3 linked regions of the Callithrix jacchus genome follow. The protein of the gene in region 2 interacts with the protein of the main gene of each other region in a pairwise test. Links are inferred from orthologs where the notes say so. Each region holds a gene or a part of one and is shown on either strand. Other genes may lie near its edges.

The links.
Region 1: the proteins of SYT4 (region 2) and NBR1 interact in binary tests that used the Homo sapiens proteins (3 or more experiments, as listed by UniProt). The two-hybrid records come from large-scale screens. The link is inferred for Callithrix jacchus from reciprocal best matches to the Homo sapiens genes SYT4 and NBR1.
Region 3: the proteins of SYT4 (region 2) and SGTA interact in binary tests that used the Homo sapiens proteins (3 or more experiments, as listed by UniProt). The two-hybrid records come from large-scale screens. The link is inferred for Callithrix jacchus from reciprocal best matches to the Homo sapiens genes SYT4 and SGTA.

Annotation. Positions count from the first base shown.
Region 1 is NC_133506.1:120,771,481-120,775,305, forward strand, and holds the start of NBR1 (next to BRCA1 gene 1 protein), read right to left. Parts: upstream 2,954-3,825; 5' UTR 2,824-2,953; exon of another isoform or gene 2,490-2,823; intron 2,240-2,489; exon of another isoform or gene 1,474-2,239; coding exon of another isoform or gene 1,432-1,473; exon of another isoform or gene 1,378-1,431; intron 1-1,377. Other genes in the region: uncharacterized protein LOC144582689, read left to right, coding at 1,432-1,473. UniProt on the Homo sapiens protein: Ubiquitin-binding autophagy adapter that participates in different processes including host defense or intracellular homeostasis.
Region 2 is NC_133514.1:86,324,320-86,328,044, forward strand, and holds part of SYT4 (synaptotagmin-4), read right to left. Parts: intron 3,556-3,725; coding exon 2,741-3,555; intron 974-2,740; coding exon 853-973; intron 1-852. UniProt on the Homo sapiens protein: Synaptotagmin family member which does not bind Ca(2+). Involved in neuronal dense core vesicles (DCVs) mobility through its interaction with KIF1A.
Region 3 is NC_133523.1:2,625,039-2,628,638, forward strand, and holds the start of SGTA (small glutamine-rich tetratricopeptide repeat-containing protein alpha), read right to left. Parts: upstream 2,732-3,600; 5' UTR 2,697-2,731; coding exon 2,594-2,696; intron 2,023-2,593; exon of another isoform or gene 1,933-2,022; intron 1-1,932. UniProt on the Homo sapiens protein: Co-chaperone that binds misfolded and hydrophobic patches-containing client proteins in the cytosol. Mediates their targeting to the endoplasmic reticulum but also regulates their sorting to the proteasome when targeting fails.

The sequences.
Region 1 (3,825 bases), on a different chromosome or scaffold from region 2:
AACTTGGCTCACCGTAACCTCTGCCCCCCGGGTTCCAGCGAGTCTCCTGTCTCAGCCTCCCAAGTTGCTGGGATTACCGGCATGTGCCATCACGCCCAGCTAAGTGTATTTTTTTAAAAATAAAGATGGGGTTTCTCCATGTTGGTCAGGCTGGTCTCGAACTCTCGACTCAGGTAATCCGCAGAACAGTGGCTCATGCCTTTAATCCCAGCATTTGGGAGACAGAGGCAGGCAGATTGCTTGAGTCAAGGAGTTCGAGACCAGCCTAGCCAACGTGGTGAAACCCTGTCTCTACTAAAAAAGCAAAAATTAGGTGGGTGTGGTTGCACAGGTCTGTAATCCCAGCTACTCAGGAGGCTAAAGCATGAGAATTGTTTGAACCTTGGAGGCAAGGTTGCAGTGACCCAAGATCATGCCACTGCACTCCCACCTGGGTGACAGAGCAAGACTCTGTCTCAAAAATAAAAATAAAAATGAAAAGAAAAAATTGGCTAGGTGTAGTGGCTCCTGCCTGTAATCCTAGCACTTTGGGAGGCTGAGGCAGGAGGATCATGAGCCTAGGAGTTCAAGACCAGCCTGGGAAACAAAGCCAGACCCCATTTCCTTAAAAAATTAAGTTAAATTTAAAAAAGGTTTTAAATAATAAACCAATCTGTAAAACCATAAACCTGTACTGTTTTCCACAATGTAATGCATTGCCCTGTAAAACACTACAATTAAGACTATCATTTTAAGGACTCTGAACTCTGTGAAGATCAGGCACTTTTGTGAAACCCTAAGACGATTATCCTTCAATTTTCTTCATTCTTTGTTTCTACCTAGACTCAAGTTCACCACCAAAACAATACTACCGTGTTAACAACCATCCTGCTGACATCTAGTATTCATTCATGTGAAATGTAATTCTTGGGGTCCTTAAGATTTGGGCAGAATTTTTTTCAATTCCCCAGGACTTTAGGCAAAAAGTCAGGGAAATGAAGTGACTGACTCAGTCTGCCAAAAGTGGATATTCTGAAATATCACTTTCTAACTTCAAGAAACACACTTAAGGAAATGAATCTTCCTCTGTTTCTCAAATTACACAATTGGAAATTAATTTAGATACTCTGGAGCTCCTCCAGCTGGTCGGCCAACTAAGAGAAAACAGGAAGTGGGAGATTCTAGCTTAGCTGGACCATATCCAGGTCTTCATAAGAAACTATCTTTGGCTGACATGTAAAAAGATTCTTTCCACAAGAACATTAATCTTGAACTTCTGTAAATACCAAAGCTATGGTTAACCCCATCTGCCCCTTAGGTCTAAAGCCAGTAAGACAGATAGCTGGGTCCCAGGGCTTTCGTAACTGGCATTATTTTAAGTCCATGCCACTGACTCACCTTTGCTTGACACAAGTTAGCTTTTCCTCTACGTCGATTTTTTTCTTCTTCCAGCCTCAACAAAATCCCTTTAATGAAACAGACCTGGAAACCTGAGCTTTGATTACTGTCTCCACCAGAGGCCTGTACAAGCCAAGTTATCGAAGCTTTAAAATGTGTGACCTGAGGTCAGGAGCGGTTCAAGACCAGCCTGGGCAACACTGCGAGACTCTGTCTCAGAAAAATAAAAAATAAAAAAAGTGTGTCCTGAAAGCTGGGTGTTTGATAAAAAGGAAAAATAGTGCCTTTCCAAAACCGAAGGTCCCTAACCAAAGGGATCGCTTTAAGAGGGTCCCGAAAAAAGAAGGATGGGATGAGAATATGTGGGTAGTGTCATATTTTTACTTGCAGACTTCATCCTAGTCTTCCAGTTATCGTTTCCCAGCACTCCATGTTCCCAAGACGGTGTCACCACCCCGAGGACTCCCTCTCAATTTCTTTGCCTAGGCCCTCTTTCTGCGGGGGAGTCGTGGCCTTCCACCAGTTGAAGCCGGATGTTCTGAACCACAGACCCTCCACCTCTCCAGCGCTTTTCGCCCACTCGGTCCCTCTGAACAAGAAGGGCTCTCTCATCCAATCACTAAAAAGATTAGGTGTCCCGAGACACGGAAAAAGTGCCCCGTCTTCTTTGCAGGATTCCTCTCTTGAACTTCCCCAAACCCTCTTAGTGTGACGTGACCCCACTCCTAGGTAACCGCAGCTGCTTCCTTACCAGCTTCCCGCCCCCGGGGGGCGCCTGCCAGAGGCCAATGCAAGGACCGTCCGCAGCCAGCTCTGCCGCTATCCCTGTGGCGGTGAATCTAACATGGCGGATAAAGACAGTAACTAGTCCCCTGGTTCTCTGAGTTTCCGACAAGATGATTGGATCTTGCCATTTGTCCCTCAAAACAACCACCCCATTGATTGGTGGAGATTGTATCGACGGGGGCGGGGCAGAAGCAACCTGTAACTGAACAACAATAACAAACATTGGGGTCGAGGGGCGGAACTACGAGTGCGCAGACGTGGGTCAGAGCGGATTTCCCCTTCCCCAGGCAAATACGGTAGCCCCTGCGATCCCACAGGCAACTAACCTTAGAGGACTAGTGGGGCTGGATGGGAATTGTAGTCTTCCTAGGAGTTATACGTATCTTTTTTTTTGGCCTAGTCTCCGCTCTCAAGATACAAAACATAACAACACTCCAATCCATAACTGTTGACATGTATAAGGGCTCGGAGGTCTCCAATTTATCCACTGGATTTCCGTGAGAATTGTGCCCGCTTCGGTATTGGATGGTCAGCTCCATAAGACTACAGTTTTCAAGAAACACGGTGGCGAAGGCCTTTCATTCCGCAATGCATGGTGGAAATTGTAGTTCTCTTCCATCGCCGTCCCCCACCCCCCGCCACCACAATCCTTTTATTTACCTAAACAGGAGACCTCCATTGGAGCGGAAAGAGTGGGGGAACGGAAGCTCTTACGACAGCTTTGAACGCTATCTCGCGCTCACATTCAGGTCTTTGGTAGCGATTCTGGCCTTCGTACAGCAATTACTGTGACGTAATAAGCCGCAAGCGTTAGCGTAGCGGAGAGAGGGCGGGCGCTTTCTGGCAAACCCAGGTAAGAGTGCCTCCTTTTCCGTCTCTTTCTTTCTACGCCATTCGGCGGAAGACTGGGTGGCCAATCCAGAGCCCCGAGAGACGCTTGGCTCTTTCTGTCTCGCCCTTCCTGTAATGCGTCTTGAATTCTAGGAGGCTGTTGTTCAGTGGCAGCCCGCTGGTTTCCGTGGCAACGGAAAAGCGCGGGAATTACAGATAAATTTAAACTGCGACTGCGCGGCGTGAGCTCGCTGAGACTCTGAATGGTGGACGGGGCGTGAGGTTTCTCAGATAACTGGGCCCCTGGTCCCAAGAGGTCCTGACGCCTGTACGCTCTGCTCTGGGTAAAGGTAATAGAACCCCGGGAAAGGGACAGGGTCCCAAGCGATGCTCCGGGGGACTGGCGGGCGAGAGTGAATTTCCAAAGCAGAACAGATAGGTATTCTTTAGGCTGGGGGTGGGAGGACGGTGGAACCTAAGAGGCGTAAGGCGTTGTGAACCCTGGGGCGGGGGGCAGTTTGTAGATCGCGAGGGAAGCACCGAGGATAAGGAAGAGGGCATGGTGTGTCTGAGGGGGAATCCTAGTTATAGGAACTGGAATGTGCCTCGAGGGGAACAACGTCTGTTGTACTGGCCTGAGCATAGAAAGTCAACACCAAGACAAAAGTATGCCAAATTGCAGGGTCTTTATTGCCGGCGGCCACCGAGGACTCGCGTCTCTCCAACCCGTGGCCCCCAAAGGAGGGTGTCAAGACCTTTTATACCCGTAAAACCACCTCGGGAGTGAGGACAAAGGGCGGGGGTTGGGGGTGAGGGGCTTCAGACGTTCTG
Region 2 (3,725 bases):
ATAGGGGAAAAATAATGGTAGGAAAAGAGGTAACACAAAAGGAAAGAAAATAAAATGTTTTATGGACTCATTCTGATTACTAATAACTTAGTGTAGAAAATGGGGTAGGAGGGAAATAAATATATTAGACAACATTTAGGTTTATTGACCTGGATGACTTTGGGTAAGTCTTTATTTCCCTGACTTTTGACTGCTTTTTCCACCTAATGAGAATGTAGAGACTACAGTGGCAATGGTCTTTTTAGTTTTAACTTTTCTGAGTTTCTTTAGTCACAGGCTGGATTTGTTTTCTGTTTCCCAGTGTTGAGCTTCTCTGTGTAATTGATAATATGTAGATTTTAAGTTAATGCTATTTTATCACAATTACTTTTGCCTTTTTCTGGTGGCAGCATACAAGTTAATTTCAGCTTCCTAATCTAATCTTTTGAGACCATGTTTCCAACTCCCATTATTAAATAATAATAATAATAATATTAGATGATATTTAAAGATGTACACATTTCTAGCCCTCACAATACCTGTTAAGATGAATAGCATTATTTCCAGTTTCTACAGAGTTTAAGAAACATACCCAATAATATTTTGCTAAGTGATAAAATTAGGACTTGAACTCAGGTAATTTTAAACTACAGCTTATTTTGTTTCTCATTGTAATATACAATAAAAAATTCTTGTTTTGTTTAGTTTTTGTAAAGTTAGTCACAAAACTAAAAGCTAATTTTTTAAAGCAGATACATAAGGAATTACAGAAAAGATAAAACAAGAGAAGAGTAAGAGTAGGTGGTGGGCTCATTTGCAGTAAAATACATTCCACTCATACACTGAACCTGAGTATTTCAGAAGCATTCTTACCTGAAAGTCCGGACACATCAGACTTAGGCAGATGTCTAGCTTTTAAAACAACCACAGTTAGAGTATTTGTGGTGGACTGATAGCAGAGAGAGATCAGTAACTCACCCCTTCCTGAAGACTTCTAAAGAAAGAGAAATGTAATATAAGTATTTCTATTATTTTTTAGCTTTGAAGTTTGCACGTTCATTGAAGTTTAAATAGCATTGTCATTTAAATGTAATCTTCTTGGTTATTTTTATTTTAATATGCTAAGGAATCAGAGTAACAGCTTTTGTGCAGTACCATCACTGCTTGAAAAACAACTGCCTGCCATCTTGTGGTCCCATTGGGTACTACAGGATGTTTCACTGCTATAAATCGACCACACCCATTACTTAGCAATGTTTAAAGAATATTTAAATTATATCTTACACAGAATTATTTTTGATTTTTGCTTTTTAATAACACCTCTACTTCTCAAAGTTATTAATAGTAATAAAGTTTACCTAAGTCTTTGCATGAGTATGTGTAAGGTCAAATGACTCTACATATACTCATGCAAATAATTAGATAAGTTTGATTTGATTTCAAATCCTTTAGCACTGACATATTGAAATTTGAATTTAGAACAAATGAGATTTATTCTGATCCCAACTACTTTTCCAGTCCAAAGGTATAATGGAGTTAATTATCTGCCTCTTTCCCAACAGCAAGTTTCCATTTAAGCCAAGGAATGATTTGATTTCAAGTATTGGAGAGAATTGATTCTGAAATTTTAATACATTGTTTTTGGACAGTATCACAGCGTCCTTCTTTTCATGCTACTTAGATTTTATTTGTACTTTAAAGACAATGGGTAAGACATCCGATAATTCAAAGTAAAAGTTTTGACTGAAAGTAACAAGATATTAACTTGGAATGTTTTGCAACTAGAATGATGGGTGACACAAAACTAAAGCTGCAATATATTTATACAAAAGCTAACATGGATCAGCTATATCAGTAAGCACTCTAAGGAGAATCAGGGTAGGAGACATATCCTTATTCACACTGTGCCACTAAGCCAGCCAGCTGTCTCAAACAAGCTGTAGAATGTCTCTGAACCTTGACCTTCACTAATTTCAATGAGAGGATACAGTCAAAATGAGCTGTGAAATTATTTTTAGCTCTGAAACACTATGTGGTTTAAAAAAACATAAAATAGTATATTTATTTATTTTTATAAATCATTCTATTATAGAGAGAAATTATTCTGAAATACCACTATTGAAATCAATTGAGTTTGAAATTTAAAGTGAAAATGGGTTAAATTTGTTTAATGATATCTTATTATTTTTTAATAAAACCAGAACTACTAGAGTAGTATAACTACAAAAGCAGACGAACTCACTTCCTAGTGTACAATTTACAGATGAACATTTATAATTGAATATGACATGATACCTCCTCCTTGAAAAGCAGTTCCATGAAAGTCAATACAATTTCCAAATCCTCAGGAAGAATTGATTTAATTTTAAATTTCAATTTTAAATTCAATTATGCTGACCTTGAAACCTCTTTGTTAATTTGATTATGAGTAAGAAATATTCACCTGTATTTTAAAGTAGCAGTGTCTGTCAAAATATTTATAATCGAGTTAAACAAATTTATATAAGCGATATCTAAATATCCTTCTATAAAGAATGCCTATTTAGTTTATGTCATTAAAACTATTTGAGTATTTCAGTTATGAATTAAATTTTATTTTGTCTGTTCTATTCCCTTGCTCTCCATTTGATTATAATTAATAATAATTAAACATGGTAAGGATGACATGTACAAGCTTATCATATTAATGAAAATTCCTTAAACACAAAAAAGCTACATAAAAGATTGTTTATAAAAACTTTAAGCACTGAAAATAAATTACCCTAACATTTCTTTTGATGATCTCTCTGTTCATTAACATTTTTCCTTCAGATAATTCAATTCCTGAGAGAGGAATTAGAACTTCCCCAATGATATCATCTCTTGAAAACCTGTCAAAACTCAAAATTGTGAAGTGCAAGGCCAATTCTTGGATTTGGGTATAGGGGATCCCATAGAATGTAAAGGTTTCATCAAAAGCTGGATCCAAGGTTTTTCTCAGCACTCTAGTTTTCACTTTATGCTTCTTCTCTGGGAGGATCGTCATTTTGATATATGGGTCAGAGGTCATTGACTGCTCATCCATGGCTGGCAAGCCACGGGCTTCCTTTATATTGACCACAAATGCTTTTCTCTCGAAGTTGTATTCTAAGGAGAAGAAGAGCGTTCCCAGCTTCTCTTGTTTCTCTTCTGAAGTAAGAGAAGTGCTGGACTTTAAACTATCAGGGGAAACTGCCTCTTTTTCCCCTTCTAAAGTGAGCTTCGGGGTTGCATTCTCCGGATCAGAGGGGCTGCCAGCTTTGAGGTTGGTTTTGGGAAAATTGCCATTGAGATCTCTCTTTTCAAGATCCAGATGTAATGAATTCTTTGGCACAGCTGGTTTATTCTTTACTTCATTTTTGTCATCTGCTCCAAACTTCTTTTTGCTATTTAGGTTTTCAGGGTAAATGTCAACTCCCTTAAGCACATGCACAAACTTGTATGGAGGAGTCTTGTTAGACTTGGATGATTTTCTCTGACAGCAGATCCATGCAAAGAGAGAGACTGTGAAGACCAGGCCAAATGCACTGAAGATCCCCACCACTGTGGGGATTTCATCTGAAAAATCAAATGACCAATAATATACATTAAAGAAGCAGAGCTGGAGATAAGAGCCTTTTGAAAAGCCTAATAGAGCTGGCAATTGTTATGGGTTGGATAGATTGAATTACTTTCCAATTGTTCTAGGTATGAGTTAAGCACATATTTCACAGTAATTTCTGGTATAA
Region 3 (3,600 bases), on a different chromosome or scaffold from region 2:
GTGGTGGGGCACGCCTCTCGTCACAGAACTTTGGAGGCAAGGTGGACCATCACTTGAATCCAGGAGCTTGAGACCAGCCTGACTTGAGAGGCTAAACTCCAAAGTACCCATTACCCTAGACACAAAATTGGGTGCACACACAAAACTTCGTTCACGATTTCACGGAGCCACACGCTCCCAGCTGCCCATGCTGGTAAGGTATCACTGATCTAGCATAGGGTTTTGATTTTTGACGGGGTCTTACTCTGTCACCCAGGCTGGAGTGCAATGGCGTGGTCTCGGCTCACTGCAACCTCAGCCTCCTGGGTTCAAGGGATTCTCCTGCCTCAGCCTCCTGAGTAGTTGGGATGACAGGCACACATGCCACCATGCCCAGCTAATTTTTGTCTCTTCAGTACAGATGGGATTTCACCATGTTGGCCAGGCTGGTCTCAAACTCCTGACCTCAGGCGATCCACCCATATGATAAGGTTTTTAAAGCATGATTGACATTCGACACTAGATTATTCTCTGGGGCGGGGCTATCCTAGGCACTGCAGGGTAGTGAGCAGCATCCCTGGCCTCTACCCACTCCGTACCAGGAGGTCCCCCAAATCATGACAACCACAAGGTCACCAAGTATCCCCGGGGCATAGGACTGTTCCCGGTTGAGACCCGCTGGTCAAGGGAGGGAAAAGACAGACAAAACGAATAATCAGAGACAGAAACAAGGCAAGGCACGGTGGCTCACGCCTGTAATCCCAGCACTGTGGGAGGCTGAGGCGGGTGGATCACGAGGTCAAGAGTTCGAGACCAGCCTGAGCAACATGGTGAAAGCCCTTCTTTACTAAGAATACAAAAATTAGGCGGGCGTGGTGGTGCGTGCCTGTAGTCCCAGCTACTGAGAGAATGACGCAGGACAACTGCTTGGGCCCCAGAGGTGGAGTGAGCCAAGATCACGCCATTGCAACAGAGCAAGACTCCGTCTCAAAACAAAACAAAGCAAAAAAAACCAAAAAACAGAAAAACAAATGAGTGTGCGGGAGCCCAGACATCCCCAGGTGTTCCTGCCCTTCCTGTTGTCACTGTTCTCTATTTGCCTTTGTCATTTTTAACAGTTTCTTTAAAACGCTGTTGTAGGACAGGCATGGGGGCTCACACCTGTAACCCCAGCACTTTGGGAGGCTTAGGCAGACAGATCATCAAGTCAAGAGTTGGAGACCAGCCTGGCCAACATGGTGAAACCCCGTCTCTACTAAAAATACAAAAAAATTAGCCGGGCGTGGTGGCACCAACCTGTAATCCCAGCTACTGGGGAGGCTGAGGCAGGAGAATCGCTTGAACCCAGGAGGTGGAGTGAGCCGAGATGAAGCCACTGCACTCCTGTCTGGGCGACCGAATAAGATTCCGTCTCAGCCGGGCGCGGTGGCTCATGCCTGTAATCCCAGCACTTTGGGAGGCTGAGGCGGGCGGATCACGAGGTCAAGAGATCAAGACCATCCTGGTCAACATGGTGAAACCCCGTCTCTACTAAAAATACAAAAAATTAGCTGGGCACGGTGGCACGTGCCTGTAATCCCAGCTACTTGGGAGGCTGAGGCAGGAGAATTGCCTGAACCCAGGAGGCGGAGGTTGCGGTGAGCCGAGATCGCGCCATTGCACTCCAGCCTGGGTAACAAGAGCAAAACTCCGTCTCAAAAAAAAAAAAAAAGACACAGAAACAAAAGAAAATGGGAGAATCATTCACCCTCTGAGATGCACACTCACGGCAATCTTCTGGCCCCGAATAACAAAAACAGCCGTTCTCAAGCCAGCTCTCTCTTACCAACTTCCAGGCACCCCGTCAAAGAATCCTATGTGGGTTTACCCTCATAAGGACCCTCCGACACATCTGCTTTTACCACTCCTGTTTACGAAAGAAGGGGCGCTTTGCTTAGAGCGGAGGCGACTCACCCAGGTTTACGCAGCGGGTAAGACGTGCTGGAGGGCTGGTCCTGTATCCCACATTGCCCCAACCTCCAGCAAGATATGCAGAAGACGACTCTAAACATGAAATAAGACGAACGGCCGCCAATTCTTCGGGGTTCTCACTTGGCGCTGGGCCCCGCGGCTCTCATTTCCCAGGCAGGGACTTTTGACAGCGTCCGTTTTACAGAGGGGACAACTGAGGCTCCAAAAAGCCAAGAGGCTGGGTAAGGTCACCGAGGTAGGGACTGGCGGCGCTGGGACTAGAGCCCCGACTTGAGTCACCACAAACGGGGGTCCCCGAGTCACAGGAACGACATTTCCAGGCGGTTAATAAGAGCGAGACGGCAGCGGACACCCAGCGAGCGCTCACTACTCCGGGGCGCCTTCACCTCCCGCCGACCTCGCCACCAGCCCGCGGACCAGCATTTCCAGGACCTGGGGTCCGGGACAGGGAGATCGGGGCTCGAACGGCCTGCCCGATGCCTCCCGGCCTCAGTTTCCCCTCCGCGCCACCTACTCACAGGACCCCGCGAGTCGCGGTGACCCTGACCTCACAATCCCCAACCTCTTACGGGCTCTGGGGCCCCGTGAGCCCCGAGCCGCAGACCCCCGATCCCCCAGGCTCAGCACGGAGCCCCTTACTCACCTCTCAGGCGACCGATCCCCGACCCACCGACGGTTGCGCTTGCGCACCGCGGTGCCACCCGGCCCCGGCCCCTGGGCTCCACGCCTGCGCAGAACAAGGGCATCCCGGCTTGCTTCCCTTCTGCGCAGGTGCATTACTGCTCTAAGTGGGCGTGACAGGAAGTGGCGTAACGTAGAGGCGGGTACCAGCTGGTCGTTAGGGCAACTGACCTCTGCGACCTAACGGAGGCCGGAAATCAGGTCTGACTTGCCATCTAAAACAAGCATGAAGCGGTGCATGGTGGGACAGTGGCGGACTGCAACAGGTGGCGGAGCTGACCACGTGGTGCTGGGCCGGCCACGTGGTGCAGCCGCGTTTGGACATCTGGACCTCAGAGCGTCACAGGCGCGCAATGAATGGGAGTCACTGTTATCCGCTCCCTGTCTTTGTTTATTATTTACCCACCCATCTACTCACCCACAAATGCATTCTTTCATGCAATCTATGAGACGTCTGTGAAAATAGAGACATTTGTAGACAGCAGGTGCCTCATATTCAATCAATATTTATTACAAACCAGCCATAAAAATCAGCGAAGTGTCTACTCTCATTATCTTGCATTGGTGTAGACGGACTATCAACTAATAAACTAGTGCATAAATACAGAAACAAGAAATTTCACAGCAAACCCTGCAAAAAAAAAATGAAGGTTGGCCGGGCGCAGTGGCTCAAGCCTGTAATCCCAGCACTTTGGGAGGCTGAGGCGGGTGGATCACAAGGTCGAGAGATCGAGACCAACCTGGTCAACATATGAAACCCCGTCTCTACTAAAAATACAAAAAATTAGCTGGGCATGGTGGCGCGTGCCTGTAATCCCAGCTACTCGGGAGGCTGAGGCAGGAGAATTGCCTGAACCCAGGAGGCGGAGGTTGCGGTGAGCCGAGATCACACCATTGCACTCCAGCCTGGGTAACAAGAGTGAAACTCCGTCTCAAAAAAAAAAAAAAAAAATGAAGGTGCTGTGATTG